Drosophila melanogaster: one gene and its partners. The protein of the gene in region 4 interacts with the protein of the main gene of each other region in a pairwise test. Each region holds a gene or a part of one and is shown on either strand. Other genes may lie near its edges. The genes, in order: Taf11, CG14151, CG11444 and Rca1.

The links.
Region 1: the proteins of Rca1 (region 4) and Taf11 interact in a two-hybrid assay, tested with the Drosophila melanogaster proteins (one large-scale study listed by BioGRID).
Region 2: the proteins of Rca1 (region 4) and CG14151 interact in a two-hybrid assay, tested with the Drosophila melanogaster proteins (one large-scale study listed by BioGRID).
Region 3: the proteins of Rca1 (region 4) and CG11444 interact in a two-hybrid assay, tested with the Drosophila melanogaster proteins (one large-scale study listed by BioGRID).

What each region holds. Positions count from the first base shown.
Region 1 is NT_033779.5:9,757,622-9,765,475, reverse strand, and holds Taf11 (TBP-associated factor 11), read left to right. Parts: upstream 1-2,213; 5' UTR 2,214-2,301; coding exon 2,302-2,570; intron 2,571-2,632; coding exon 2,633-2,954; 3' UTR 2,955-3,052; downstream 3,053-7,854. Other genes in the region: ppk18 (pickpocket 18), read left to right, coding at 1-119; und (uninitiated), read right to left, coding at 279-706, 828-1,640, 1,742-1,847; zf30C (zinc finger protein 30C), read right to left, coding at 3,335-3,911, 3,977-5,355, 5,423-5,796, 6,723-6,726. UniProt on the Drosophila melanogaster protein: The TFIID basal transcription factor complex plays a major role in the initiation of RNA polymerase II (Pol II)-dependent transcription.
Region 2 is NT_037436.4:10,623,106-10,631,015, reverse strand, and holds CG14151 (uncharacterized protein), read left to right. Parts: upstream 1-2,531; 5' UTR 2,532-2,562; coding exon 2,563-2,676; intron 2,677-2,736; coding exon 2,737-2,968; intron 2,969-3,030; coding exon 3,031-3,275; 3' UTR 3,276-3,336; downstream 3,337-7,910. Other genes in the region: CG42535 (uncharacterized protein), read left to right, coding at 125-313, 375-458, 516-663, 721-801, 855-916; CG42536 (uncharacterized protein), read left to right, coding at 1,020-1,151, 1,215-1,298, 1,357-1,504, 1,558-1,656, 1,707-1,798; CG34238 (uncharacterized protein), read right to left, coding at 3,641-3,918, 3,974-4,121, 4,187-4,270, 4,338-4,448; CG43127 (uncharacterized protein), read left to right, coding at 5,453-5,621, 5,681-5,799, 5,865-6,015, 6,077-6,210; CG42521 (uncharacterized protein), read left to right, coding at 7,453-7,507, 7,562-7,878.
Region 3 is NC_004354.4:4,550,803-4,559,181, reverse strand, and holds CG11444 (uncharacterized protein), read left to right. Parts: upstream 1-4,783; 5' UTR 4,784-5,199; coding exon 5,200-5,847; 3' UTR 5,848-6,065; downstream 6,066-8,379. Other genes in the region: CG3546 (uncharacterized protein), read right to left, coding at 1-1,072; CG3527 (uncharacterized protein), read right to left, coding at 6,284-6,874, 6,939-7,106; CG11436 (uncharacterized protein), read left to right, coding at 7,375-8,379.
Region 4 is NT_033779.5:6,848,478-6,856,820, forward strand, and holds Rca1 (regulator of cyclin A1), read left to right. Parts: upstream 1-3,837; 5' UTR 3,838-3,944; coding exon 3,945-5,180; 3' UTR 5,181-5,389; downstream 5,390-8,343. Other genes in the region: l(2)k09022 (lethal (2) k09022), read left to right, coding at 5,769-6,937, 7,050-7,312, 7,373-8,343.

The DNA of each region.
Region 1 (7,854 bases), 2.9 Mb from region 4:
GATTTGTCTACATATACAGGTCATTCTTATTAGATAAGGAGCCTATCAATCACAACTATTCACTTTACTGGCGTGAGCTCCGTAGCAATCTGCCAAGACAAGAACAACTTCGAAAATAATCTCACTCCGCTTATATTCTGAGCATAATACATTGTATATATAATTCGGTTGGCGCATGCTCACAAAAAATCAACAATAGAATGAACTTATATCAAAAACCGTATATAATGCAAGCCATACATCGCCGAAAATCGGTCACTGTCCAGTTCCTCATCCCACTAGTAGTCGTCGCCACGGGAAACGACTTCTTTGCAGGTGGGTCGCAGCATAATTGTGTGTTCGTACTGAGCCGTGTAGCAGCCCTTAATGTCGCACAACGGCGGATAAGCCTCCACAATGCCCTTGTCGCACAGATCCTTGAGAGCCATCTGGTACTTCGTGGCACCGGCGCGGTCCAGCCAACGCTTGCAGAAGGCCAGGGTGCCGAAGTTTTTGTTGATGGTGCCAAGCAGCTGCTTGGATGACTGCAGGCGCAGCGGCACAAACGGCAGATCAAAGTTCTTCATGTAATGCGAGCAGTCCATATCGTCATGGACCAGACCGCGACCCGTCGAGCCGAACGTCTCAATGGCGTAGAATTCATCCTCCTCCATGCGAGTGGACTCTCCGCCTTTCACAATGGGCACCGTTTTTCCAGCATGAATGCCTGAGAATTTAATTTTAGACTTCATTAAGTGTTTGCACAAATCACAATAAATTTAAACAAAAAATATTAAGGAAAGCATAAGCATATTTAAAATATTTATAATAAATAGATTTTTGCTTACGGTACGGGCTGATGGAGTGTCCATTTAAGTTGCGAATCGCCTTGATGGGATATGTTTTGCCGTCCAACTCGATCTCGTACGACTCCATGACCTCCTGGATAGCGGCGCCGATGTCGCATAGGCGCACATCGATGCCCGCCTCTCTGATGCCCGTGTTGGTGGCCTCCTTGACGGCCTGCAGCAACTTGTCGTACTTGTTGTTGAAGGTCAGGGTGAAGGCGCAATCAATGATCCGCCCCTTGATATGGGTACCAAAATCAATCTTGCACACATCGTCGTACTGCAGTACAGTGGGGTCTCCGGCATTGGGCGTGTAGTGGGCGGCGCAATGGTTAAGAGAGCAACCAGTCGGGAAGGCCAAACCAGCCTCCAGACCATTTTCGCCGATCAGGCGCCGAGCAGTGTTCTCCAGCTCCTCGCAGATTTGGATCATGGTCATGCCCGGCTTAATGTAGCGCTGCATATACTGACGCGTCTGACGATGGGCCTCAGCCGCCTGGCGCAATTCCTGGTAGATGTCCGTGTTGATACGGTCCAGAGCACGCTTCTCCTCCGATGTGAATCGGTCCTTGGCCGTACGATCGTCGGGCATATCCTTGGGCGTGGGGTGCTCCACGATCTCGCCCTCGGGGAAGTTGCCGTCCGGATAAAGCTTAGCAATGGGTATGGTGGGCGGATCAGTCTGACCGCTTTTCTTGCCCTTGTTCCCCTTCTTCTTTGCCGGCTGAGCGGCCGGTGTTGCCGGTTTGGCATCTCCGTTTGTGGTCAGCTCCTCGTCGCCGCCTTCTCCGGAGGCTATTTTGGCTGCCGCTTCTGTGGGCAAGTGGTTAGTTCAGTGGGTGGTGGGTGGTTGAGGCGGAGAGGGTCGTGCAAATGCAATTACCACAGTGCACTGCTCGCATGAGGTCACTCACCTTGGCGGAGCTTCTTGTTGTTCGGCTTGGGCTTCTTTTGTTTCTTGACCTCCTCGCCGATCTCGGGCGTTGCCGCCTCCACATTCAGAGTCTCGGTTGCAGACATTTCGCAGTGCCTTGGTTGCTGGCTGAACGATGAAATAAACGAAAATGTAGCGCGCACTCTTGCCTGGCGATGGCGATGCGGAGAAAAGAACAAAAACACGAGGTGTCAGAGGCCAGTGCTGTAAAACGTGCTGTGGACTATCGGAACCAGTGAATGTTCAATTTGAAATTTACATAATTTGACTTTGAGCACTAATTTGAAGAAAAAAAAAACACTACAAAAATAAAAGTTTATCGAATATTGTATATTTATATATTTATTATTTATTAAAATCTCAAAGCCACCTTATAAACAACTATGATATACCTTTAATATATTTAATCCGATATTTTGAATTATATTCATCTATTATGTGGTGCGGAACTTTTGAGTGTTGCAAAAAGCGAATATGGTGCAACTCCATCCCTGGTTGATTTTGTTTATTATTCGCTGGTGCTTTTCAAATTTCATTTAAATGGACGAAATCCTCTTTCCCACGCAGCAAAAAAGCAACTCCCTAAGCGACGGCGACGATGTCGACCTGAAATTCTTCCAGTCGGCCTCCGGCGAGCGGAAGGACAGCGACACCTCGGATCCGGGAAACGATGCGGATCGTGATGGCAAGGATGCGGATGGGGACAACGACAACAAGAACACGGACGGAGATGGTGACTCTGGCGAGCCGGCGCACAAAAAGCTCAAGACGAAGAAGGAACTGGAGGAGGAGGAGCGCGAACGAATGCAGTAAGTTAGCTTAAAGCGATTCGAAGGGGTAATCCTATAAAAACTATTTTATTCCACTCCAGGGTTCTCGTTTCCAACTTTACGGAAGAACAGCTGGATCGCTACGAAATGTATCGTCGCTCTGCCTTTCCCAAGGCCGCCGTCAAGCGTCTAATGCAAACTATCACCGGCTGTTCCGTGTCCCAGAATGTTGTGATAGCCATGTCCGGCATTGCGAAGGTCTTCGTCGGCGAGGTTGTGGAGGAAGCCCTCGACGTGATGGAGGCCCAAGGTGAATCCGGTGCCCTGCAGCCCAAATTCATACGAGAGGCAGTGCGACGACTGAGGACCAAGGATCGGATGCCCATAGGCAGATACCAGCAGCCCTATTTCAGACTGAACTAGCGAGTCGAGACATTAAGAAATATAGTTTGTAAGGCTGTTAGTCAATATAAAAATACATAAACAAGTAAAAAGTAAATAAATATAAAGATTTTTTTAACAAATCCCATATAATTAATTTTCTCTATTACGAATAAATTCCGAAACGTGTTTTTATAAGGAAATTTATTTTTCTTAAATGTTTTTGACAGGTCCGTATGGCGTTAAACCTTCATCTACATCAATTTTATGTAGCTTATTTACGTTCAATGTTATTTAATTAATCCAGTCATTAAGTAGATATTATTATGTAGTTGTCATCCCATTTGTTGTACAGTAGAATACGCATCCGTTTACAAAAGAATCTTTATTGAGTGGGATCGCTAAATGAATGTGTTCCGAAGTTACTCCATTCGCCGGGCCTCGGCTTGCATGGTCTGCAGTACGATGTGTGGCACCAGGTGTGTGGAGGCGTAGTTCAGGGGCACCGTGGCCAATGGCGCTGAGCCGTCAGATGGGAAGTTGAGCTCCTGTGCCATGGGCATGTCCCTGTCGATGACATCCTGGGCGATCAAGGTCTTGGTCTCCTCGTACTCCATGCCCGCCTCCGGCTTAGCGCCCATCAAGAGTTTTCCGCGCTGCACGCCCATGTACTGGGTGGCCTTGGCATTCAAAGGCAACTGGCCGCAGGTATCGGCATGCACCTTGCGATGTGCCTGCAAGTTGGAGATGCAAGTGAAGCGCTTGCCGCAGTTATTGCACAGGAAACGCTTAATGCCCGTGTGCACGGTCATGTGGGTGAGCAGACTCTCCCTGTACGGATACTCCTTGGGACACAGGTGGCACTTGTACGGCTTGTAGTCCGTGTGGCGCGTCTTCAAGTGCGACTTGTATTGCGCCTTCACCTTGAATGTTTTGCCGCACTTATCGCACTGGTACGGAGTGTCTGCCTTGTGAAGGAGCATGTGCGTCTTGAGAATACTGCGGAAAGGAAGATGCGTTACTAACAGTCTTAGAATAAACATTCAAACACAAATAGTTATTACCCAGCGGTGGACAAATGTTTGCCGCAAACGCTGCAGCCGTAGAGCGGTAGACGGCCGCAGTCAGAACGAACGTGGTCAGAGAGCGATGTGCGTCCGGTGAACTTCTTGCCGCACTTGTCGCAGATGAGGTTGCGCTGCTGGCTGCGCGGCTCCTTCTTCGAGTGGAAATTGCGTTCGTGGTTCTTGAGGCTGTCGTGTCCGGTCATGTACTTGTCGCATTTTTCGCAGTAGAGCAGTTCCTTGTGCTGGGCCCTAGCATGCTCAGTGGCCTGTTCCTTGGTGGCGAAGAAGAGGTTGCAGTAGCATGGGCACTTGAAAGTCAGCTTGCCATCTTCGCCATGCACCTTCATGTGGGTGACCAAGCGCTTCTCCACCAAATAGATCTTGCTGCATATGGGACACTTAAAGACTTCCTCGTCCAGCTTAGCATGGACGTCCACGTCCTTAAAGATCTCTTTCATTTCCGCCTCATTTAACTTGTGGTCGTCGCGCAAATGCTTTTCGTAGGGCTTGCGGATGTGGTAGATTTTTACGCAGTGAGGACACTTCCAGGATTTTTCCATCTTGTTGATCATCTTAAGGCGCTCCTTTAGCTCCTTTTTGCTGATCTTAGCTACGCGTTTTGGTGTACCCGATGAATCGTCAGGCGAGGGCGATCTAGGTGCGTTTCGTTTGCGATACTTTCTCTTGACCACAGGTATCTTTTCCTTTGGCGGTCTGCCCCGCTTTCTTGGTCCGGGAGGTTTTTCCATTTGATGACCCCTCAGTTCTAAGACATCTTCTTCCGCAACCTCCACTAGCGGCACGGCCGCGATTTCGTCTAGTATACCAGCGCCCTGTTCCACCTTTAGGCTCTCAAAGGGCTTTAAGCCATCACCCTCATTGAGCAGCACATCCAGCAGCTTATCCTTTTCGTTGCTAAAGATATCGGTGCTTTCGGTCTTCACATACATGCTGGCGTCCTGGTACTCGAAATCTTCTTCGTCGAAGGCCTCCACCTTGACCATAGCCGGCGGAGGAAGCTGGAATCCGGATGCATCCGCATCGTCCTCACTGTTGTTGGGTTCGAAGTCGGGACACTCGTCGCCCGAGTCCGAGTTCTGGCTCTCCTGCTTGAGCTTCGTCTTCAGACGACTGGCCAGAGGAATGTCATCATCGCTATCTTCCGATTCTTCGCTGGTGGTATCTTCATCATCAGAGTCCCTGTTTCTGTCCTTCTTGCGGAAGGCCTTATGTTTCTTCATCCCATCGGATGAACCGGGCGAATCGTATTCCGGCTGTCCACAGGTGTCGGGACGACTGCGTCGATGCTTGGATAGGTTAGAGGCGCTAGAGAAGCGGGTGTAGCAGCACTTGCACTCCATTGGTCGGGATTCCTCCTAAGGAAGAGAAAGTAATTATTATTAATATATTTACAAACGGTTCCACTGTTTCGGTTCTACTCACCCTGGGTAGCTTTTCCTCGCCACACTTGGTCCTGCAGTGGCGACGGTATGCCTCCTGGTACTTGTACTCCGCGCCGCACTTTTCACAAACGAAAGGCTTTCGCTCCTGTCCAGCTACCGCGCCAGTGACTCCGTGCTCATCCTTTGCATGCTGGGTGAGCTCCTCCTCGTGGCAAAACCGAGCATCGCAGTGACGGCACTCGAAGCCGCCCGGCGGCTGGTGCTTCTTTACGTGCTTCACATATCCGGCTAGGGAGACCAGCGCCTTGTTGCACACCGGGCAGTGCAGCTTGGGTATTCCGTCGGTGGTGATCTCCACCAGGAGCTTGGTGGCTGCAGCCGCCGCACTGCTGCTTGGAGCCATCGACTCGGTTTCTGCGAGTGGGGAATTGAGATTATAGCATGTTGGGGCGAACGTAAACAAATGCAAATTTGATTTTCGGTTGGTTTGGGTTTGTATGCGCCTACCAGGGCTGGGTCTTTCAGTTCTGTCTTAAATGCACTTGTCGCAATATTATTGTATTTATATTTATCATAGGGTTTAGTAAAGAAGCTGCATTGTGCACAATAATAATAACTATGTAAATCAAATTAGATCTAGTGACTTCCGTTTTTTCTATTTTTTCGTTTTAAGCAAACTATCAAATTTTATTATTATTCTTTTGGTTACTTTAATTTTTATAAGCAGCTTCTTTCTGATAAATTATTAATTGACATGACATTTGTAATTTTCAAGTTTATAAATTAATTTAGGATATTCATTATTATGTTAATAATGGTTTCAATTTATATTATTTTCAATTTCTATTTGATTCAAAAAAATAATAAAAGCTGTTTTCCAATGGTCATAACATATTTTAGTGCCATAAAATGAATGTATTCATAAGTCTCCTTTCGAACCAACTATCGGCAACGAGCCCTTTGTTCGATATTCAATTCGTTCTTGCAACCCACCACCACTACCACCGACACCTCCAACAACAACAATAACACCGACGACGGCAGCCGATTAGCGACGCTGTGCTGCAGCCCTGGTGGCGTTGCGTTCGCCGAGTCGATGGGCAAGTGACGGGGGAGGCGGGGCAGGTAGGCAGGACAGCGACTTGAAGTGCGCGCATCACGCACAAATGCTCCTAGTTGGCCTGCATCGGCTGTACCCCAAAACGGGGCTCCACCTTAACCCCCCGATATCGTGCGATTCACGACTACATATCTACATGCACCACCTACATACAACACACACCATGTACACCATATACACCGTATAGACCGTATAGACCGTATAGACCGTATACACCTACCCATATCGGTTCGGTATCGGAGTGGTGCTTCCTTGGACTTGGATTGTGGGCCCTTTTCTGCTCCTGCTCTCTCCTCTCCACACCGCTCCACGACGACTCTCCGAGATTCTCAGACACCGCTGAGGGGTCAGACAAATACAAATGTCTCGCTAATGATGGCTTCGCCTGATTCCGATTTCGAGTTGTTCGATTTGGGCTTTGGGTGCTGCGGAACACTTGGTTTTGCGCCGAATGCAGCTCGCCGCATTTTCACTCACACTATTATTCGGCTATTATTGTTTGTTGTGGTCGGGCCGAGCACTGCGAAAAATATTAACAACTCTTAAGTACACTTTAAAAAATGAAAAAACGCCAATGAGCTGCTGGCGAGTAAATTATTTTTCTTTGTGCAGCTCGAGGGTGGCAATGCAGCCCTGGTCGCAGCGCTCATTTGAGCGTCGGAACTGGTTCGCCCCCAGCATTGCCACGAACCAGTTCGGTACGGCTCTTCTCGTTTATTTTGGATTCTCAGCGTTTAAAGTCGTGGCGCAATTTCCCCTCCACGGTTTGAAAATTTTGAAAAATAAATTTTAAGTTCCCTTAGCATAACTAATTGTTAATGAAAATACAGCTGTAAAATAATGCAGAAAGGAACCGACCAATCTTTGAGCTTGTTATACTACTTACTCGCCGATTAGATACACAAATTTTGTTCACTGCACAGCGAGAGAGCCGCAATCCAGGGTTGCATTGCCCGATTCTCGGCGGGCGATTTTAAATTCAAATTTAGCAAATACTTCTTGTAATGCCATGGATTGTTTTAATAAATCAGTCTTTAAAACTATATTTTAAATTTTATTTATTTTCTTTTCTAAGCCATTGACGTCGTAGATGATAATAATACGTTAATTAATTCACTATTCTTTAACTGTTATCTATTTTTCTTATAAGTTAATAAATAAACCATAAACAAAGTGTTAATACTAACTATTAATCCAAAAAAGGTTTAAAGTCTTTAATGTTTACCAAACATTTTTCTCTTTTTTAAACCAATAAATTTAAAACGAACACGTTTACAAAAAACTTGAAAACCTCGTCTTGGTGTTCTAATTGGAATTGGAATTTTTGCCGTGTTGAACTCTGACCGTGCCCA
Region 2 (7,910 bases), on a different chromosome or scaffold from region 4:
TTTAGAATCACTGGATATTCAAACTGAAATTCAAAAAATTTTTATCCACTGATTTCTCTATGCAATCCCACTTGCCTTGATCTAATGATCATTGGATGTGGAAAATTAACCTTGTGCCTTCACAATGGGCACCGAAAAGAAAAAACACCCGCCAAAAAAGAAGTCACAGGAGAAAAAAAAGAGCGGTCATAGCAAGTCGAAGCAGAATTCTTTGAATTCCAATCTGCCCAAGATATGTTTCGTCATAGCAATTTTCGATCTGCTGCATGCGTTATATTTTACAGTTCAAGCAATGATTCTTCTGGTTAAACAGGTAGCTATTGTTTAATTAAAACACAAAATTCTTAATAATCATTAAATTAAACCAATAATAGTTCAGCGCGTTTGCTATGTTGGCGCTTTTGGGTGTCATTTTTTGGGTTATAATGGTCATCCTGTTGATGGTTGGCCTTTATAAGGTGAGTTTGAATTTATTTATTTAGTGGTATTAATTCCTAAAATTATAAACACATTAGCGCAAGCCAGTTTTCGTAAGGTATTGGCTTATATTTTCCATAGTCGGCTTTATAACCGATATTCTATTTCTACTTTGGGGCATTGCGACCTCAATAACTGTGGACTGGGACCGTCTTAATGAGTTTTCAATAATTTTCCTTGGAATATGTAAGTGATATTTAAATTTAAAATCAAATACAATTCTAATGTTAAGTATAATTTTAGTTGTTGAAAGCGCCTGCATATATTTCATACATCGGTACTATCAGATTATGGATGAATCGAAAAAGAAGAGGACCCTATGTTGTAAGATAGCTTTAAACTAATATTACATTTTACTACTAATCGATTTTATATAGGTGGCGGAAAAAACGAAAAGAAAAAGTCTAAAAGCCCAAAAAAGAAGAAAGGCAAAAAATAAGATCTTTCAACTTTAGTTGGCTTTGTATTTCCGTACTAAAAAAATATATATTTATTAGATTGTTTCAAACATTTGTGTATCGAATAAATTTATTTCTTACAAAATGTCTATTGAATCGGGAGAGCTAAAGTTGCCTACGGATAATCTCCTAAGGACATGCTTTGTTATTGGCGCTTTTGAACTGGTGCGTTCATTGTATTTTTCATTTAGTTCAGTTTCACTCATGGTCTTGCACGTAAGTATTGTATTTGAAAAGAACGTTCTTTAACATTTTTAGCCATTTATTGTTTTGCATTAGACGAATTGGTATACCATAATGGCCTTTCTAAGTACAATAGCTTGGATTGCGACCGTTGGTGGACTGTTTGTTGGTTTATTGACAGTAAGAATTAAAAAAATTTACCAACTATATACATATTTAACTGTTTCGTATTAATTAGAGTCGACCAACTCTGCTCGTATTTTGGTTACTGTTCACTGCCTTTGCAACTGCTACGGATATTATTTATTTAATATGGAATGTTACTTCATCTCCTATTTTCGACGCAGAACATTTAAAGCGCTGGACCATTTCATATTTGGGAATCTGTATGTTTTTAATTTAATAGCATTCTTAGACATTGAATTATAAATCTTTGCAGTTTACGAGGTCACTTGCTTATACTTGGTATTCAGATACTTTAGGAGATTATATTCCTACGTCCTTTTGGAGGGTGATAATTATGATACGACTACTAAAGGTGAATAGCTTAAGCACAGATTTATACGATATACTATACATAAATTTCAGATAGAAAAACAGAAGATTACAGAGATAATGAGACTCAAACCCAATCTCCAAGTTCAAAATACAGGACTTCTGGAAGATCTTCTAAAGGATAAAATGCCAGTTTGGACAAAAACAGCAAAAAGCTTGATTAATAATGATCATTTATGTTCGTTTCATTATGTTCAATGTCCACACACGGTTCAAAATCCCTTTGGAGTTACTAAAATAAATTAAAAATGGTTTTCTTCATGTGTTATTTGGATTTCTATTTACGGGAAATCAATTCCCGACCCCCCATAAGCAATGATAATAATTGACTTATACAGTTTTCCATCTATTTTCCGATGCCTGCGAGGACGATAGGTGGTCACGTTGCCATCGAGGGACCAGGAAAAAGGACAATTCAATCTCCAGGACCTGCTGACAAAACAAATGCCATAAATGAGGAACGAAGTTCGCCAGCAAAAAGCAGTTCACATTGGTTTAGAATGTTTTGGGAATACACTTGGCAGCTATTTTTAGAGCTCAGTATTTGAATGAAGAGATTATAAATGCATGTAATTTAGATGTATAAATTAAAACGGAAATTACAAAAAAATTCATGAAACTAAATATAATTCGCAGGAACATTGAACTTGGCATATATTGAAAACTTCTGTAGTGTATTGTACTTTTGGCCACTGAGTCTCCCTACATTCCCACGCTTGAATACCACTGTGCTGTGTCCATGAATGTTGGCAATCAAACGGCTTTGATTAACAGGCCGCCAAGACCCGAGTAACCCCCTTCTCCAATCGCCAAGTACGTGCTTATCATCATTATAGCTTTGATTTAGTAGACAACATTGCCAGTGATGTGATGAATCTTAGCCTGGGCGATGGGGTCAAATTCTGATGGATATTTAGTGCCCTGTGCCTATTGCATCGCCTTGCTGGACTTCATATCCGCCCTGCTATTCGCAATTATCTCAGGAGTGGTATTTGCCAGGCATGTAAGACAATTAGGCCACAGTCCTTTCAGGGAAATTGTGGCTCAATTTTGGTATTTGCAGGGTCATTGGACCGCCTTGGTTGCACTGATCTTCACCATTTTCTGGATGGTTATAATCATAGTTTTGATGGCGGGTATCTATAGGCGAAAACTGGGACTGGTACGATTCTGGTTGGTGTTCACCTGCTTGGGAATACTTCTAGATGGATTTATACTGCTCTACGGCCTGACCTTGGCCATATCTGTGAACTGGGAAGGTGTCAAAATCACAGTGCTGCCCTTCGTAGGACTGGGTAGGTCTAAATAATAATTAGCGTATTTAATTTACTGAATATATAATTGAATTTCCTTTTAGCCGTGGAAATGACTTTTGTCTATATCATATACCTACTTTATCTGGATATGATTGATTACAGTGCAACAGAAACGCCTCCCGATGAGAAGTATAGAGAAAGGAGTGGCTGTGATGTGAAATACGCTGAGGAAGAGGAAAAGCCACTGGATCGCAAGGATCTGAAACGGATGGAAAAACAAGCCAAGGAGCGTATGAAAAAAGATAAAGCCGTTCTCAAAAAACTTCAGAAACAAATGCGAAAGTGAAGGTATTAAGTGTTTAAAGTATTGATTTTTATATTTTTAAAATAAACATGAAATTGAATGCATTGATTTGAACTTTTCTTTTTGTCTGAGACAAGCTCTTTAACTTTTATCACACGCAGGATGCGGACCACTCACACCTACACAAGCCACTCACACACACACACACAAGAACGCCAATGTTAAACACAAAATCCTTTTAAAATAATTTGCTCAGCAGTGAGTAAAGAAAAAATCTAGAGATACAAATGCAGCTAAACGAATTCGAAGAGTTGCATGCCCTGTAGATAAATAATATATTTTTAATATTTTTACAAACTTGTCTTTTAATATTTTAGCTATAAAATAAATATATATAACCCTTCATTTTACGTTGTTGAGCTGCTGTCTGAAGGTCTGAAAAAACCCATCTTCATTGGTTGTGACGGAGAGTTTTTAACTATTTTTCCCCTGCTATTTTGGTTTTGAATAGGTCTTTTGGTTTCGCCATAATTAAAATGATGCCTTTGGTGACTGTGTTCTCTTTCATAATCCATACAAGCTTCCTGTTGTGCTATTTTTGTGGCTATAGCCTTATGACAGGCTTGGCAAAAGGCCAAAGTCACGTAGAACCGTTGAACGATGTATAGAAAAATGCACTCCACAACTGATAGAAAAATATAAAGTTAATTTTAAGGTGATACTTCTAATATTGCACTCACTCAATCCCACCATGAGTAATAGTCCATTTTTGACCAGACCCATTTGGAAGGAGCTCTCGTTGAAAACGGCATACAACACCAGGCACATCTCGACCATGATTCCCACGCAGGAGAAGATAATCCAGGCACGAACACAACTAGGATGGCGCTGTAATTAAGCGAAGGATACCATTACACTGTCACCGTGAGCCACCTTTTTAAATACGAATATACCCCATGAATGCCAACCAGCAGCATCACAATCATTGTTATCCAAAAGAGGCCAAAAATAGCGGCAAAAATTGTTAGCCAACTTAGCTGGAAAAATGTGAGAAGATTTCTGAAGATTTTCTACTGTATATAAAGATTTAAAGGGTAGCCTTACGTGTTCGCAAATTGTCTTCAAACTGACCATGGAAAAAAGCAATGCGCTGATCAGATCAAAGCATCCTATAGCATAGGCCCATATCAACAGCGATTTCTTGCTGGAGATCATATCGAAAAATGAAAACATTATTTGTGGCAGTTGAAGATAGGAACATATGATCAGTTCAATGAGTGTATAACTAATGATTGTGTAAATAGATAATACAAGTATATTTTTAAGCCGTTTTCTTCAAATTTGCTAGTACATTTATAAATAATTAATTTTGAAATGTATAGATAGAGCATATTTAACAATTACTTAAAATCTTTCTTCATATTTAGGGTATATTTTAATATGTTTTTTTAGCTCAGCTAAACAAATTACTACGTTGTTCGATCACACTCCACACACGGTATCAAAACGGAAACGGAAATGACAGCCAAGTTCCGCTGCTATGGTTGTCGCATCTATTTATGCAGGGAAAAAATGAGACATACCACCGTATAGTGTACGTAAGTATATAAGCATATACCCATGCATATAATGCCACGCTGATGAAATACGTGCGGCGTCGGCTCACGCAAACACACACACACACATAGCCACTGCTCTTACCCTGTGTGTGAGTGAGCGTGTGTGTGGTAGTGAGTGTGAGTAAGAACGAGGGGAATCCCCGTTGACAAATATAATTTTACTTTTTTCGCGCTCATTTGCAACTTGGGCGAAAAAGTGGGAGCACATTTTGATCCCCGGGGTGCGACAAAGCCTTTTTAAACATCTCACTTCCAGTTCAAGTTTTTCCAACAGAAGCAACAGGAAACTTGAGTAGAGATGGAACCGTAATGGAGGCTCAGTTTCTTTAAAATAAATTATGGCACTTTAACAAATGTATTTATCAAACTTAAGCTTGAAAATTGTAAAAAAAAGGTTCTTAAATAAATGAAATCTATCAAGCTTAAGATTTTTATTTGTATTTCTTTAACTCCAGTTTGTTCGCATTTCCTATTGAGCAATCTTATTTCAGACCCTATTTATTTTTCGGTACACTGCTAAATTTGTCATATAAAATGTTTTTAAAAACCATTAAGTATCAACTAAAACCATAGTGATTGGACAAGAAAAAGTTGAAGGTGATGAATGCTTTGAATGCTTTTGGAATGGCCATCGGCTGGATGGACATTGCGGGAGTTTTGTTCTTCGAAATGATAATGTTCTATATGATGCGACGTCGTCGATTGGCACAAAAATCAGAAGTTGCATCGATTGAAGCACAAGAGAAGTGCCATAGAGATTCATTGCCCAGTAAGTGCACTCAATAAAGGTACTCAAATGCAGTGTTCTAACCAATTTATGTACTCGAGATCTCTTGACAAGGAAAAAGCTGAGTGAAAGCGAAAACATTTGGATATTCTGGGGCTACCTGTTGATGCTGAATATTTGGATTGGGGTCACTCTGCTCATGATAGCTGGCATCTCATTTGTGGGTGAAAAGTATCCCGTTGAGTCTCATCAACTCCGTTCCATTCATTCTCTTCGTATTTTCAGCAAAAACCGGAGCTTATGACATTATGGTTGATATGGTGCGCCTGTGGTTTGGTCTTCGATGTCTTCCTCATTTTGTGGTGGGTCTACGAACTTTTTGTGGGCGACGCTATTGAGGCACTGACCAACATTTTGATCTCCCTGCTGACCATGGGTACGTTTTCTGCCTTAAATTAGTTACTAACTTTATTATCTTTGTGGCTTTTATTTGATAGCAATTGAGTTTGGCTTCATCTATGTTATCTACACCATCTTCTTGAACTTGTCCAATGCCACGAAAAATGAAGAGACCAAAGTGGCAGAAAAATCTAGATATCATTTTATGATGATTTCAGATCAGAAGAGATAAATTCAAATATGTTTGTGTTATATTCATAAATTTCATTTAAAAGTTTCAAAAATATTACGTCTATATTAATATCTCCATATTGACATGATTTAATTACAGTTTTCTATACAACAGATGCGTCTTGACCGGGTCATAGGTCATCGTTCATACGGCGCCAGACAGAAAACCATATTTTGTATCTGTTGTGCCGACTCTTGTTTCTCGTTTTCCTGTACTTCATCTGCTTCTTTCGAGGGCTTTTGTAGTTTTTAATGGTCTGCAGCACGGAAATTGATTCATTTCCGTTTCATGCTCTGCGCTTCCGGTCTTGTCTGCTCTCGTTCCTCCTACGCCGCTTTAAGTTTTCCAGATCTCAGCTGCTCGTATTGAAATCAAATTCAAGCTGTTTTAGTCCTAATTCGGCATCTAATTCCATTTGTCCGGGCTTTGGAACAAAGTGCGTGGATTGTCAACTTGTCACTTGCAACGCGATGCCAAAGTGAAAAGCAAAATATTTCTTCTTTATTAAACATTGCTGGAAGTCCGTTTATTTTCAAACTTTTTTATTTTTTATATACGTATATTTCTCTGTTTTTTTTTTTGCGGGTTTCTTTGGTCTCCAAGCGCTCACATTGGTCGTCCTCGAAGGAGCGACTGGCTGCTCAAATTTATTGTTTGCAAATTGAAATTCTTGTCGACACGCACGAGCAAATCCATTGGGAATGCACAGCATAGCGCAGAATTTCAGCATCTCAGCTCTGCTCAGCTCGTCAGCGTCATAGTCATAGTCAGAATTTCGGATTGGGACGGCAGAATGGTGGGGGCGTGGCACTGGTACGGGATTTGATGGCTTTTGTGTGCCCGGGCAGCAGCTCATCATGGCTCTTTAGTATTTATTAAGACTGCGATGTGCCATGAAACATATTTCGATAAAACAAACAAAAATTTTAGAGCGCCGTTGACAAACGGAGAATGGGTCTTGGGTGCAGAATAGATGGATGGAAAAATCGGAAAAACATCTAGTTATTTTCCACAGCATGGAGTGCTCCTCAAACTCATGTCTAGAATTTATAGTCATGTCGATAAGCCAGTATCGAAAAGACACCTTTTAAACAATCATTGAAATCAGTGAAATATATATAGTTTGTTTCAAACAAAAGTGAGTAGTTCTCCTCTCTTTCGAGGTGAGTTTTTCTCTCCATTGTGAACAGAGTGCTATATATAAAACATTTTTCCGACTAAGTGGATCAGTCAACTTGAAAAATGCGAACGGTGCCCATCTTGTTGCTAATTTGCTGCCTAGGCTGGTTACACAAAGGTATCTTATAAAAATAACTTTCTAATAAGATTAACTGAATAATGTTCTTCGTAGGCCAAGCTGACGAAAGGAAGATTGGCGCTGTGGGTCCGCCTATGAAACAGAGGAGTCTTCGACATGTAAGCTCCTTTGCTAATCCAGGGCAACCGGGTAGACCTGGCAGCGGAAGACCAGGACGACCTGGTCAGGGAATGCCTGGCCGACCTGGGCGTCCAGGAGGATCAGGTGGAGCTGGAGGAGCCGGAGGAAGTGGAGGTGATGGAGGAGCAGGTGGGGCTGGCGCACGACCAGTAAGAGGAGGGTATTGGAGGAAAGGTATTTCATTGGGTCAAAGGCGACCAGAGCCAAGGTCAAAATATTATTTGTATTGAATCAAATTTTAAAGTGTATAGAAACTGTTGCT
Region 3 (8,379 bases), on a different chromosome or scaffold from region 4:
TCTTTTGCTTCGCAGGCTGCTCGTCATCTTGAGCCTGTTGCTTGCGTTTCTTCTGCTGCTGTCGCTTGTTCTTCTGTTGCTGATTCTTGTTCTTCTGTTTCTGTTTCTGTTTCTGGTTCTTCTTGTTCTTGTTCTTCTGATTGGGCCGCTTATTGACAGCGGGAAGAATATCGCTGTCATCATCACCGGTTACCCAACTGGCTATCGTAGAGACGGGCTGGTCCTCGCTGATGATCTCCTCCTCGAAAACACCCAGGCCATTAAAGCCGGGCTGATCTCTGTAGTAGCCATTGCCGCCGCCGTAGTAAAAATCATCGTAGTCCTCTTCGTCATAGTCGTCCTCATCGTAGTCATCATCCTCATGCTGGTCCACCACCTCCCAAGGCTGAACGAACGGATAGAAGCTAACGCCGGCTGACTGGTGAACAACATCCGATTGAACGGGCTTCAGCTCGAAGACGGCATGGGTATCGGGATTGACTTTGGGCGGCTGATGCGATTGGACCACCACGATGCCAGCATCCTCGGCCACATTGGCATGACTGGCTGCATTGGCGACCACACTGACTCCCTGATTCAGATGGGCAGCAGTGGACTGGCTTTGCAGGGGCAAAGCCAAGGCAGCGGGCACAAAGTTGGACTGATTTCTGGAAGACTGATCGTCGCCATCATCGTCCTCCTCGTCGTCATCGTCGTTGTCATCGTTCTGCACATCACCCTGGGGCAGAGGCGACTCCAAGTGGACTCCAGTGAGGGCGACATAACGTCTATTGCTATTGCTATTGCTCTCCACCTCCTGCAGAACAGCTCCTCCCTCACGATGTTCCTTCGCCGGCAGACTCTCCACCTTCAGGGGTTGCGAACTAACCGACAGAGCTGCCGATCCTGATCCTGATCCAGATCCTGCTGCACGACCCGAACGCTTCCTTCTCGTGACCACACACTGCGACTGACTGCCATCGCCCTTCAATTGGCGACCCTGAATATAGAATCGCTTCAGCTCGTACTCATCGCCATTTTCGTCCACCTCGATCATGGTCTCTCCAGCGACCCTGGTGGCCACCAGGCACATCCCGAGAGCCAATAAAGCCCAGACACAGCCGTTCCTCATCTCGTCTAAAACTGAGCTAGCCGACGATCGGCAACCGGCTTATATTAGCTCGCACCACACGGACCTATTGACCCACGGCTAATTGCCAAAAAAAAAATATATATATATGCTAGCTAGTCCATTTGGCCAGATCGAGCAGTTTAGCTCAGCGTAGTAGCTTAGCTACCCAGTTGACCGAAAGCTACGGTTTCCTACGAACCCGAGGGCTCTGAATTATTCATCAGCTCAGCATCGCAGCTTGGCTAGCATCGTTGGGCTTTCTTCTTCCGAGAACCCGTTTTATTACTATTTCTTCTTTGACTTTCTGTCGGGGTCAATGGATCGACCGATCATTAATAACCCCGAATCGATGCGGATGAAAGTTTCTGCCAAAAGGGCCATTTGTGGGTCATCTAGGTTGCGATCATTTTGCACAAAGAAAAAAACTAGCTAAATTTAGCCACACCTTTATACATATGTACGTACATAATTGGAATGTAATTCAAGAATTTTGTAATTCATTTTTTTTTTTTTTGTATGAAAAGGTCAAGAGGTAAACTTTATGCCCAGTATAAAGTCCTAATATATGTAAATAAGTCCTAAATTTCTTGGGATTTTTTTCTCTCTGTATGAATTTCAACCCTTTTTGGGAGTGGAAAGTTGAACATGGGGACCGTGTCCAATGTCGCAGCTCGTAAAAATAGTTCTGGTGACTCTATTGACTAAATTTAAACCAGACACATTCCTCTCCACAATTGAGTTGTGCTAAAGATTTATTTTGACCAAAGAGATGATTTATCCGACAGTTGGCACAAAGAGCAGATAACGAACAAAGGGACTGGTGTGGCATTTCTAGATATTCCGAAACGAAAGGTTAGCTCAGCACACGTGGTGCGAAAGTTCAATGTTGTAGTTGCAACATTAAATACCAACCAAGTTTGCCATATTAAATACCCTCATTCTTAAGTCATCTTTCATATGCTCAGATAAAAACATAGTACCGCATTTCGACAAAAGAGTATAGAAAGCGAAATTGACCTTTGATGGAATAAGCGAAGAAACAACGATGGGAAAGCAGATTTCTTAGCGGGATTAAAGTTTCTTTGATGCTGCTGAGCCAAAAACGAAATTAATTTATTGAATTCGTTTTCGAGATTTTTTTTTTCTACCTAAAATGTACCGAAAAAGAGACATTTAGCGAAATTGGCCAACAAAAGCCAATAAACATTCCAAATCACAGTTTGTTTCTGTTTTTTTTTTTTGTTTTTTTTGTTTTTAGTTGAGCCCGCCGACTAACTTAAGTCAGTTGGACCAAGTCAAACGCATTTTCAACGGGGACACACTCCGAGCTGCGGCCATTTATTGTCCACTCTGTGTGAATGCTAATGAAGCATCGTAAATTTCCAGAGCCAAGAGGAGTGAAGCAGCCCGCGGGCCAAATAGTTGGGTGTGATCCAGGTCCGCCGAAGAATCCAAGATGGATTTTGGCATTGGTGGTGGAGAGATGGCAGCTGAAATGCTCTCTCTCTCTAGCCGCTTGAGATAATTATTCTACATTTATTTTATTTTTAAGAAAATCCATTTAGAAGGTGCTACATTGTTAGGACATTAAGTAATGCCTGGTTCGAAATCAATGGGCTTAAGACTGAAGAGATGTGGCCAACTGTGGAGATAAATAAGTGTTGCCTTTTGTGCATAGTAATTGCGAAAAAAAAAGTACAGTAAGCACTGGCAGAGCCTGCAGCAGCACATATTTGTATGTCGCGCACGTTCTTTAAGTAGCAGCAGCAGCAGCAGCAGCAGCAGCAGCAACATCAACGGGCAACACCAGCAGCAGCAACAGTAGCAGTAACAAGTAAGAACACACCTTGTTCTTGTACTGATATCAAGTGCTGATTACTGATTACACACGCAGACAAATGGAAACTAAGGCAATATGATGGGGGAAGCGACGCCCGATCGACAACCAAATCGGAGTTCACCAAACGATATTAGACGGGAATTTGTTTCGTTTCTTTTCGATTTTGTACTCTGTGCGCTCTGTTTTTTTTTTTTTTATCACAATCAGCCTCAGCAACCAACGCAATCTGTCATCGACCCATTTGTGGCGAGACATCACAGTGCCTGCTCTACTATACATATGTACATTTGTACACACATGGTATGTACATATGTATGTACATGTGCATATACCACGATCGTATCGGGAATCAGAGCACAGTGAAGTCGAGTGCCGAATGTCGGGAGAAGTGTCCATTGTCCATTGTCCACTGTGCACAGTGACTGCAAAAAGTTGAGCAAGAAAAAAAATGAATATAAGTTAATGCTCTTCTTTTTCATAGTTATACAAATTGTTCTATGCCGAAATTACAATTATATCATAAGGTGTTTACAACGCGGGGGCAACTTCCCCATCGCTAGTGTGCAAACATCCCGCACCCACACGCCTACGAAAACCTGGCCCACCTGCAACACAACAACACACACACACACACACACACACACATGCATAGATATATAGTAGATATACGTTTATACGCCATCCGATCTGAGTGATCGTATAAAAAAAAAAAAAACTGACGCACGCAGCAAGAAAGTGCGTATACGCAATTAGAATTCCATTAACTAATTTCTTCTCATTTGCATGGCGCACTTTCTAAGTGCATAAGCAGCATCTTGCCGCTGTAATAGCAATAAATAAAAGAACTTTCATTTAAATTTATTCACTTAACAATCGGGGGAAATGAAGAGCGGGCGAGAAGAACAGCATTTACGATGAATTTTTGAATATTTGTTTGCCGCTTTCGTGGCGAGCACACATGGAATTCATAATTAATTCGTGCATTAAATTTTCGAGTATATTATATTTGGTTATATTTCTGGCTCTTTTTTTATTGTTTTTTTTTTTTGTGTTTTTTTTTTCTTGCCGGCCAAAATCAATAAGTTGTACATATGTGAGAGTTTCCGTTAATGAGATGCATGATATCGAGGAATGTGCGCTGACACAAATATGCAAAACGATTTTCGTTTATTTCTGGTTATTAATGCCGCATTATTCGCTTGCAACTTGTGGCGGGCGGCCAGTGAAAAGCGAAGAAAAACTGGTTTTCCGGCAAATCACAGCAGCAGACCAATGCCAGTGCGACTCATTTATATACACACAAACATACATACATACATAATCACGTTTTCCTGCATCTCGAGATTCTGTGCAGCTGCAGTTGCAGTTGCAGCGAATCGACAAAATGGCGGTTTCAAAAAAGAAACCAATCAGTGAGTAAAAGTAAAATCGGTTTTTCTTCTTTCAATCGATGGTGTTGACCCAATAAAAAGAAAAGAGTGGAATATGTACCACTAATTTATGGTTTGCCATCGCCCAAATGAGAATTCCCAACACGTGTGCCTTATTTATTTCAATTTTAAGCAGTTTTCCGTTTTTTTTTCTTATAAAAGCCGCAAAGAGCACACTTCCAAAATCGGGATATTTTTTAGTGAGATTATATACAGATAGATAGCAGGTGAAGGGCAAGGAAATTATATATGTATTTAATTTCCAATGTATACAAATATTTTATATTTTAGAATTACAATGATAAACAAAAAATCATAAAACTAAAGAGTTTATCCCAAAGTTACTTGCAATGCTCAGAAACTACGCTAAGTAGGCTCCTATTCAAAGTGCTAGTCAAGCGAAGTGAGCAAAAAAAAAAAAAAATAAGCAAATTCAAAAAATTAAACAACCAAAGACATTTTCGAATTTCCCGCTTTGTTTTGAAACGGTTATGGAAGCGGTTAATTACCGAGTACAGCAAACTTGAACACTTGAGGGCGCCAGGCGTGATACGGTATTACCATTCGTGTTATTTATGCGGTATTACTATGCAGTGAATGCACGGGCGCACTTTTGACCGGCACTGTACAACACTGTGAATAGTGCAAAAAAATTTTTTACAACGTGATTAAATATAGATAATTTTCGAAACATAAACGGACCGTAAGAATCCGTTAACGTAGCCAGAGTAAAAGCTCTAGATACAAGCACATCGGACATACAGGAGGAGAGACCTGCGAATACCCGGGAAACCGTAAGGATCAGTCCATAAATCATCATGCCACGAGGAAAGTTCGTCAACCACAAAGGTCGCAGTCGCCATTTCACATCTCCCGAGGAACTGCAACAGGAATCGGAGGAGGATAGCGACCAGACCAGCGGCTCGGGATCAGATAGCGACGATAAAGACGCTGCCGGCGGCAAAGCCAGTTCCTCTGCGTCCAAAGCCAAGGCACCCGCCACACGTAAAGCGCCCGTGAATCGCAATCAAAAGTCTCGATCAGCGGCGGGCGCCGGTGCGGCAAGTTCCTCGGAATCGGAGTCTGGCGAGGATTCCGACGATGACTCCGAAGCGGAAGCGCGCGATGCCAAGAAGGGCGTGGCCTCACTCATCGAAATCGAGAATCCCAACCGGGTGACCAAGAAGGCCACACAAAAGCTATCGGCCATCAAGCTGGACGACGGGCCAGCCGGTGCCGGCGGTAATCCCAAGCCGGAGCTTTCTCGCCGCGAACGCGAACAGATCGAAAAGCAGAGAGCGCGCCAGCGTTACGAGAAACTCCATGCTGCTGGTAAAACCACCGAGGCTAAGGCCGATCTGGCCAGATTGGCTTTGATCCGGCAGCAGCGCGAGGAGGCGGCCGCCAAGCGGGAGGCGGAAAAGAAGGCAGCCGATGTGGGCACCAAAAAGCCGGGTGCCAAGTAGATAATCCATCCCTTTTGAAACCTTCCCTTTCCCATGTGGGATTTAATAGAGCTCTCAATCGTGCAACGTATACAAAATTCGCAATAATCCTTTTGATGAACAGTGCAATTAGTTAAGCATAAATTACCGCAAACATACCTTCAAAATTATGCAAGTTTTCTAAGCCTATCTTTTGTAACTGCAATTAACATAAATAAACCAACTAATTGTAAAAACAGAGAAAGTGCGTGTGTTTCGTGATGATTAATTAGGATCCCAGATTATATTATAACTATATATATAAGCGTCTTTGTATGTTCTAAACTTTAAGAAAGATGAAAATAGTATTCTGGTCTGGATATTCCACCAAATTTTAATGGAAGGCAATCAAAAGAATAATATGTAGACTAACTACTAGCTATGACTAAACTAAGAAAAACAATGCTTTGGACTTGGATTATACCACGCCCCAAACCTCCTCGAAGGCGGAACAGATTTTGGAGCACGCGATGGCCGCCGAAAGTGGATAGTTGCTAATGGAGAACAGCTCCTCCGTGTAGTCCGTTTTGAGAACGCCATGTGCGAAGGCTCCAATAACGATGACCACCGGCTCATCATAGCTGGCCGACGTCTCGTCACCATGTGGCACCAGATCCCGGCAATTGGGCAATAGTTTGCCAGAGAAGCTCATGGCGTACTTCTTGCAACCGACCGGCACATGATCCGTAATCGGATTCTTAATGACACTCATCAGACGACGTGAGGAGTCATTGGCGCGAATTTGGAACTTGTGCAGCAATTGCACCATTAGGCCAGCAAAGCGTTTAAATGTCCTCGGGATGCGCGTCTGGGGATTGATTTCGATAAGCACATTATGCTCGGTGCGCACAAAGACCTGAAGCAGACCGGCCCGGTTCAGTGGCGAATCGAAGAGCATCAACAGGCACTGGTGGGTGATGTCCGGACGACAGGAGCCGGGATCTCTTTGGTTTTTGCGCATAATTCCCGCGTGATCGTCGCAGTTCAGCAGCTCGAAAGTGTTGTGCACCTGCAGCAATGGAAATATGTATTTATATATATATATATATATGTATGGAAGGATGATGACCCACCTTCACCGTCTCCAGTTGGGCTCCTTCCAAAACGATGATCAGCCGCTTTTCGGTGGCATTCAGATGGAGCACCTTGAATTGCTTCTTGTCCAGATCGAACTCCGGATCGTCCGCCTTGCGACCGACAAACTTACGCTTCCTATTGATCGCCTTGCCCTGACCGCCCATATCGTAAAAGTAGTTGTATATGGTTAAAAACAATTCCGAAATTATTCTTAAGAAATCCGCACGTTTTTCGAAATGCACAAGTTCAGTATGACCTTGTTGCGGGCTCCCTTAAATACCCAACTTAAATAGTATGGCATATGTTTTTCAGTATTAAAAACAACGAATGCATTTGCTTGGGTCTGGTCACACGACGGCGAGTTTGTTTATTTTTTGTTTGCATTTGGATTACCGGATCCTTGTCGTCCTCCTGGTTTTGCAATCCTACAAGATGCGCCTGTGCCCGCTGGCGTTCGCCGTGCTGCTTGGCCTTTTTCACCTGATCCAGGCCTGCAATCATTGGGTTCTTCGCGAGGAGCAGATCGTGCCCAAACTGGACTCTCCATTCCACATGCGTGAACCCCACAATCTGGCGGCATTTCTCAAGCAGATCAGGTACAGTGAGTATGTGGAGCGCTCCTATCTGGATCTGCTGCGCAAGCGGGAACAGATTGTGGAGCACCTACGATTTTCGATGCGTTTCGGTGAGGATCTGGCCGAGCAGGCCAAGTGCGCCATGGACTACTACATGCTGGAGAAGCGAATGTCTTACCTGAAAATTACGCCAGAGCAGTTGAAAAGGATTAATCTTCCGGACCAGAGGCAATTGCACATACAGAAGAGCGCATCCTCGATGGGAATGGAGCCGATATGCAGCGATTACCATCGATTAAGCGTGGGTCCAGCCACCTATGATCATCTGGAGAGTTTTCGGCCCGAGGTCCTGGCCGCTGCCTTTCTGGAGCGCGAGCATGACACCAATGTGGGCATGGCCACCGTGGAATTGACCCGGCGATTTGCGGTGGACGGATTGCAGCATCATCCGGCCTCCTGGAAGTTCCACACCCTAAGCTCGTACTATTGGCGCATGCGAGGAAATGCCCGGGAAGCCCTGCCCTGTGCCAGATTGGCTGCCTTGCTGGCTCCGCCGATCTTTAAGGATATACCCCTGCTGAGTCTGGGTACCATACTCTTTCGAATGGGTCGACTGGCCGATGCCGATCTGATATTGACCGCTGCGGTGGAACATGCTCCTAATGTGGCCGAGAATCATGTGGTCCTGGCCTCTGCACTGGCCATGAAACACGACTTTAATCGATCACTGCAGCACTTCGACGAAGCCGAGCGACTGGATCCCAGCACATTGCCGAGAACACAGCAGGTGCGAAACTTTATAAGTTGCCTAGAGAACCTAACGAAGAAAACCTCCAAGATGTATAGCTATGTGAAGTACATG
Region 4 (8,343 bases):
TTTATTCTGTAATTTAATCTGCTAATTGGCAAGTCCCAATAAAGCGTTTTTAAATTTGCACATCTGAGTTCAGCCATTTGTCATGTGCAATGCACGTGTCCTATTCAAAAAAAAAAAAGAAACTGGGATGGATGGTTTTGTTTTTTAAAATACAACAAAATCGCAATTGGCGAATCAATCAAATTTCGCAAATTGCCTGCTGATACTGCAATGTATCAAGTTACCAAAAAAAAAAAAGGAGCAGTTCAATTTTATTTAAAACATTTTTAATTTCCTAATACATTTTCGCTGATTGATAGGTATTTTTTTTTTTTAATATTTCTTGCAATTTATTGAGAGCACTTCTATAGGATTTCCTATCCTATTTTTCTGCAATTCATAGATCGCAGAAATGATTAAATTTTATCTGGCAGACTTAACTGCTCCTTCGACTTCTGGCTCGCCCACATCGTGAAATGCGAAAACATTAAAATGATAAATGAGTGCGATTATTCCCTTATTACCATCAAATTAATAATGCTCCTCTGGCTCTCAACTTTGGCCCGGTAATCAGTTTAATTTTTGTTTTCCTTTCGCCACTCCCAGGTAAAAGGACAAAAAAGCACGGGTAACCAAGCGATTTATTGACTAAAAATGAATTACCACGCAGTGGGCCATCATAAAACAGAGCAAATAGTTGGTCACTTGTAGAGAAAGTGCAAACGTTGAGATACCCTAGAAAGCAGCAACATTAAATCTTTCTAAACATAAGAAGTAAAAGTGACATTAAGATATTCTTCAAACTTTTTAAAACTAGGGAACATACATCCATTAACAACTCAATTTTAACAAGTTAACAACCTACGAAAGGGTAGCAAGAATGAGTACTCATATACTTATAAACCCACCGCCGAAATCAAACACAATCAAGCGAATTGGGTTCCGTTCCAGTTTGAGTTCCAGTTCGGGTTACTTTGCTTGCACAGCCATTTGAGTTTGTCCGTTCGTTTGGTTAAAAATAATCCGACCACTTCGCGTGGCCGCAAGGACACCCAGGATGGCCTCCCACCGCGGTAAACATCGTTTGTCAAATGCTCCGACTGCCCCGTCCAGCTCCAAGCCACGACAACTCACAATGCCATCCTGGCCAGCTCCATCTCCAACTCCACCCCATCCTCCATCCTCCACCTTCAGTTCCAGTTGCAGTGTGTCCAGTGTGGATGGGTGACTTCCTTCCTTGGTCGAAGGACTTACGTGAGTCGCGGCCGTGCGATAAAATAACCGGTTACAAAATATTTGTTGACATTCCGCGGTAAATTACCATAATTAGTTGATTCGAGCGACCGACCCATGTTTGATCGGGCTGTCATGGGTTAAAGCACCAATGGAGTGGAATGGGTGTGCGTGCAGCGACATAATGCCAAAACAGGGCACTGCCCACTGCCAAAAGGATAATAATTAGAGCATATGTACGGATTGAGTGCAAATATTGACAGGAGCTGCCCTTCCTTTCCCCCATTTGTCATCATTCCGGGTCGTTCTGGTGCGTAAACTCAAATTAATCAGCCGCATATCAATATCCGTGCAAACATAGCTCCACATCAAAACATATGTATGCATATATGCGCTACATATGTCGCGACCTTTTGGACATGGATTTGCCTTGCCTCAAGGATTTTCCCTCAGCCATAAGGAATTGTGTTCTGTTGACAGTAGTTTTTGGGGTGAAGGTTAGTTAGCATTCTCGAAGCAGGACAAGGCAAATAGATTCATGGTATGGTAAAGTCGCGATTTGTACAGGAAGTAATGTAAGTCCTTAAAGTAAAGTCAAGGAAATGAGTTGAGACTTATTTTTGAAAACAATATTTATGAGTGCAAGAGCACTACTTCATTATTCAACCAACAACATATTATTTCTAGCAAATCTTGTAATATTTTATATAATACTTTAAATATCATTGCAGTTATCTTCTATATACACCTAAGATAAATCAATGCCTAGCACATATCCCTAGTTCGACTCATTCGGCTCCCATTGACAAAGTCATTAGTTAACATCCCTCTGATCTCAAAGCAAACAGGGTGACCACGACTTCCCAGGACCGAACCAAATGAACCACAGATTAATCCCAAAGCCACGACGACAATTAATATGCTGCCATATCCACGCCCGAAAAAAAAAAAAGATGGGCAAACCGGTCAGTGGAAAAGAGATTAGAACAGTCAAATGACTTTAAATTAAGCCGATGTGCGTCTGTCCGTCGATTTAATTAAAATCAAAACAAAATCTTTGCCCGCCGACACGCCCCTTTTGGTGGCAGCAAATAGACAAATAATAAAACCATAAATAATGCAAAACAATAAACGAGCAAGTATTCATAAATTATTAACGCAGAAGCTGCTGGCCGACAAAAGGCAGCGCAAATACCCAAAATATTTTGCCAAAGCATTTAGAAGGACAATGAGGCACGAACCAGATGACAGAATCCGGGGTAGAATAGCAAATCCCCGCAGCAAATAATTGAGCCTCATAAAGGAAATATCATTCATTGATTTTCCCCCGGCAACCACAACAGATTCTCGACCTCTCATCTTTCCCAGCAAGTGGATGAAGTCGTCGGGCGGTTGCAAATGGTCCTTGGAATGGGAATGGGCACGAGCATGGGTTGGCCAGTGGTGGTGGGTCATGGGGCTTCATTTAGCTGACTCTATGGACAGCTGACGAAACTATCCACCTAGCGGCGAAGGAAGACTTTCACATGAATCCCAAATCTATGCCCCGTCATGATTTGCACAAAAAACTTGAGCTGGCAAATTTGTCAGTGGGCACAAAGGACGCGGCAAAGAAGAAGATGAGGGAAGCGGAACGGAAAAAATCTAAGGACGAGTCAGGGAGAACAAATGATAAATTATTGAGGGATTTTCGTTAATTTGATGACACTGATGATGGCCAAGGCCAGATTATCCTGACTGCCGAATTTTGATTGGGCCAAACAGGGAACAGAAGACATATCTCATAAAATAATTTGTAATGATTTCAATTTTAATAGATATAGATATACTTATGTTCGATTAAAATCTTTTTGTTATAGGCGTAGAAATTTAAATAGCACCATATGTCAGCTAATCGAGAGTATTTTTATAAGCTTATCAACATAATTTTACCAATGTCTTCAAAGCTAAGACGATGAAATACACTTTTAATATATATAATATAATATAATAATATAATATAATATAATAATATAATAATAATATATAAGATGTTAAACGGAATCCCGTTTTTATAAAGTGAATGTTTTCAAACTATTACTTATTTCCATATTTAATAAGTGAAAGTTTTCTATTTTCGAATTGGTATTAAAGCAATAAGCTGAGTATATAGGTATTTATTTTATACTTATGGCGTAAGGCATGGAAATATAATTTATTGAAAGTCAAATTCTTGGTGTTTTTAACTTAATGAACTGATTATACATATTATTTATCACTCTTATTCTTTATTTTACTTCTTTTTTCGAGAGCATTAGTCGCAAGTGCGTCTTCGCTAGCTTTGGAATGTGTACTCGCTAATATGGAAGTATGTACACACTGCATAGAATGAAAAAACGCTATCTTATTCCAGAACCTCAAATCTTGTACAGCTTGAACTCTTTTAGACATGTTTATAAATGGCTGAAGTTGCTTATGTTAATAGGAGTCTACGATTAACTGTCAGATTCCAATAATCCGATCAAGTGGCATCTTTTAATGCACAAGTTTAAATGGTTTGCCTAACAGTCACGATAATATATATCAAATGGTTGGCAACGCGATACGTAGCATTCTGAGTTGACCCGACAATGAACTGGTATCTATTTAGTAGCCAGTTAGTATTTTATTGGGGCGGTCACACTGATCCGTACCCAAAAACAATCAACCGATGCGAAAAGCATAACAATTCGAAAGTTTAAAATTCGGTCAAGATGAGCGCCTATTATCGGCGCGCGGCGTTGCGGAAGAAGAGCCCAAGCCGAGGGTCATCCTTCGAGTTGGAGATGAACGAGTCTGGCTACACATCCTTCCTGGCGCTGCACAATTCCACCGCGGAGACGCCATTTTTATTGGAGGACGCTGAGGGCGAAAACTGTCGCAATGCATCGAATACCACAACATTCTTTCGGGGGCTGAACACGCCCAGTGGCCACCAGGAGCAGGACCTTTACTGGGGCAAGCCCTATCCCAGAACACAGCCCCAAAAGAAATTTTCCGCGGAGGAGGAGCCTTTCTCTATGACTCCGCGTCTGCAGGATGAGCATAGTCTGCCCAAGCGACGCAAGAAACACTTTCAATCGCCACACAGTAGCCCCAAGAAGTCCAAAAAGCTGCTCTTTCCCCACATAGAAGAACCGCCCAAGAATCGCTTCTACGGCGGTGTCGAAAAGCTGGATATCGTGGCCAAGCTGGCGCAATGGCAACCGGCACTGCAGTGCATACTGCGTCATGTGGGCGCCCACACGCTGGACGTGATGACCAAGGTATCGCCGGCCTGGAAGCAGGCTGTTTATCGCAGCCAACGCGACTTGGAGCGCCTACAGAACCACCGACTCAAATTGAATCTAACCAAAGAGAATCCTCACGTGCCCAAGCGGTGCAGCCATGTGCCCAAGGCAAACCACACAGTGCCATTGCAGACCTCGAACCATAGCAGCCTGGCCAACAGCGCCGCCTCGCTAATGGACTCGGGCAACTCGAGCATCCACCTGATGGACGTGGATGCCGGAAGGGTGCTGCGCGAGCAGACGCAGCGCGTCAAGTGTCCGCGATGCGGTCGAGGCAGCCGGGTTTTCATAAGCGAGGCGGCCAAGTGTGGCGAAAACCTATTGTCGCAAACTCTGCCTATTGGACGTACAACCAGCACATTCCCCTGCATGACGGGTCCGCCTCTCAAACGCTTCCTGTCCCTGGATCTTGACGAGGTCAGGACTTCACCGCAAGGACCGCCATATAACTTCGCCGAATGCACCAGTGTCATCTGCCAGTTTCGGTTCTGCGTCAACTGTCTGTGCAAGTCGCATCCCGGCGAGCGTTGCCTGGTCACCGAACTGGACACACCATCCAAACTGATGATGCCACGGGAGCGACTGACGCCGCCACAACGTGCCCAGAACCGTGATCCGAAAATCACAAGGAAGAACTCGCTCAAGCGGCTCTGCTTTTAGCTTTATCATAGGCTTTTAACTATTACGATTAGTATTCGATTTTTTTAAATCTCATTAATTTCGTATTATGTCCATCGCATTAAGTTCCATTTCATCACGTACATTCATATATATGTTTTTAAATCGTTCCATGTAAGGTTTGTCGGAATTCTGTACCTCTGCGAGATTAAGTATTTTTTACACATGCAAAATATATAAATCATTTTTAGAACTATAATTGTTATAATTATAACTGGGGGAAAGTGATTCCTGTTTATTAACATGTAAGGCTTTGTTATTATACATCATTATAACAGGCTTCAAAGGCAGCCTTAATATGTTAGGCAAGTCTTAAAAATATTTTATTATTATTGATTGCATTGCATAAAATAAATTCAAACAGAAAATGTTTAAAATCAGCTGTAGTATACTGGTTTGGGTCTTGGCTAACGCCAATGCGCGCTATTTACCGTAAGCTACTTTGTGTACTGCCAAGAGATCTTTGGCCACACCAACAAAACACGTGTGGAGTGCGGTTGCCGCACATTTATTGTTCTCCGTTTTTACCTTTAATTAACTTGAGAAAAAAGGAAAAAACGATCATCCAAAATGAGTACTGCGTTGGCACAGCAGCTGCAGAAACTGGCTGCGCCGCAGTCGTCGGTAACTTTGGCAGATGCACGAAGTCGCGCCTCCATACTCTTCGATCCCAAGGAGGCGGCCACCAAGGATCGGCGGTCCATTTATGAGATCGGGTTAACGGGACTGCAGGAGCTGACCGACTTTAATCCGGCCTTCAAGGAGTTCCAGCTAACGTTGTTCGATGAGGCCACATTGACGCTGGAGCGTTCCGTGGAGCTGCCGGAGATTAACAAGATGCTGGACGCGGCCATTGCAAAGTTTCTGCGCCTTCTTTCGCCGTACCTTCTGCTCCGCCCCGCACACATGGCCTTCGAATGGTTGCTGCGACGATTCCAGGTTCACGAGTATAACCGTAGCGAAGTTATGGCCCTGATTCTGCCCTATCACGAGACAATGATCTTTGTCCAGATCGTTAAGACCATGAGGCTCCGGTCATCGGATGGCGACTGGTACTGGCTGCGCCCGTTGCAGCGTCCTGGCGTTCCGCTAGCCAAGACTGCTATTATTAACAGAGCCGCCAGCAATCCCGCCTTCCTCGGCTTCATCTGCCAAAGTACCCAGAAGGCGGTTAAGGAACTGGGTCCTCGAGCCCACCAACTGCAAGCCCAGATCAACTTCTATGCCACCGTCGTAGTTGGCGCCCTGCAAACGGCCAAACCACTGCAGGACTGGCACATCACCACTATTCTGGAGTCGCTGCTTCGTGGCCTGATTTCCGATAATATCGACTTTATGGCGGCCGCCTATGTGATCGTTGCTCAGCTTGTTTCCCGCACCAAGCTCAAGAGCAAGGTGTGCAATGCCCTGCTGGAACGCGTGGCCAACTGCCCGTTTGAGAGGCTTCACAGTGAGTCGCTGCTCCTGCTTGTCTGCATCTATGGCAAACAGCAAGCCGCATTGCCGCACTTTAAGCCGGAAACCATACTCAATCTGGTTGGGAAGAAGTGGCTTATCTCCACTCTGTCCTCCCTGGCCAAAGGCAACATCGCCATCCAGTCTATCTGCATGCCACTCATGACCGGAGCCGTGGCCGCCATTCGGGACGATGACGCCTCTTCTAACTCATGCAAACTGTTCTTGGACAACCTGCTGTCAGAGGTGCCAATGCCAAAGCCGACTGCTCAGCAACTGATCAAGTGAGTACTAGAAGTATCGATCGAAAATAATAAAAATAAGAGTTTATACACTTGAATTTAAAACGATTCAGCTGTTCCGATTTAAATAACATATATACTTTAACCATTTCAGTTGCTTTTTGGATACTTATGTAGAGACTGCGATCGATGCACCAGAGCCCATGGAAACTAACTCAAACGAAGATGACGATACCATTGTAATTGATTCGGATGATGAGATCGAGACGGAAAAGACCACCTTTCAAGCCTGGTATTCCACTTACCTCGAGAAGCTGGAGAGACGCTATCCAGAAGCTTTTGATCTGAGCGTTAAAGAGGCCTTGAGATCGAAATCCTCCACAAGCAATCGCCAGAAGGCCTTAAAGTTGGCTTTGGGTAAGTAAAAAATAATAATATTTATATATTTATTGTATATAATGTTTTATTCGATTGAAGGCTTCCGTCTCAACACTACTGATGAAAAAGCGAAGCACGCCTACGAAAAACTATACCACTACAGCGCTGACTGGCGACTTAGTGCTGTTCAGAAACTACTCCAGAATTTGAATGTGACTAAAAAGCGGGAGAGAAGCGTTAAGCTTCTGCAGGAATGTCTGCCCGATAGGATAAATGATGATAGCGGTGCTGTGGTCTCAACCTTGCTATCATTGCCTACCGAAGAGCTCGCCGAGATGTTGGGTCCGTTGCCTCTGGCTCAAACCCTATGTCATCTGCTGTATCGTGCTCAGTCCGAAAAGGATGAGGAATGGCAACCTGTGGTTCCCCTCGCTGTTCGTCACTTGACCTCTGCCTTGGTGAGCGGAAGCTATGACACAAATTTGGTGCTATTAGCGCTGATGCCGCTTCTCTTCCCTGGCGAAGCATTAGCTGAACATCAGCACAAGGCTCTGCGGATTCTACTTGGCAGTGATTTTGTCAGTAAAGTTCCGTTCTTGGCAGAACTTAAAGTGAGCAACAAATTCAGCGACTTTAATGTCGGTGAGCACCGTCAGCACTTCCTGGACATCATAGCGAGCAGCAATCAGGAACTGAGTAGTCAGGAACGTGCGTTGCTCCAAAGCGTAGAAGATCATGGCGGTGAGTTGTACATTCAGAAAGCCTCCCAGCTGACGCACCTGTTACTCCTGCTAACTGCCTACGCCAAGAGGGAACTACAGCCTCGGGAAAGCCTTCACATGCTGGAGAAAATTGGGCTTTATAGTCGGCGCCTCCAGTTCCGTGTCGTCAATGGTAGTCAAAACACACAGAATTGTGCACCTCTACAATTGTATGTGGATTTCCTATTGACTTTGGTTAAGAACACCAAATGGACAGCTCTAGCATCCACTCCTTGGAATCAGATGACCGATGAGCTTCGCCTCTGTCTGCGCCTGCTGGAAATAATATGCGCCCAAGTGTTTTCGGAA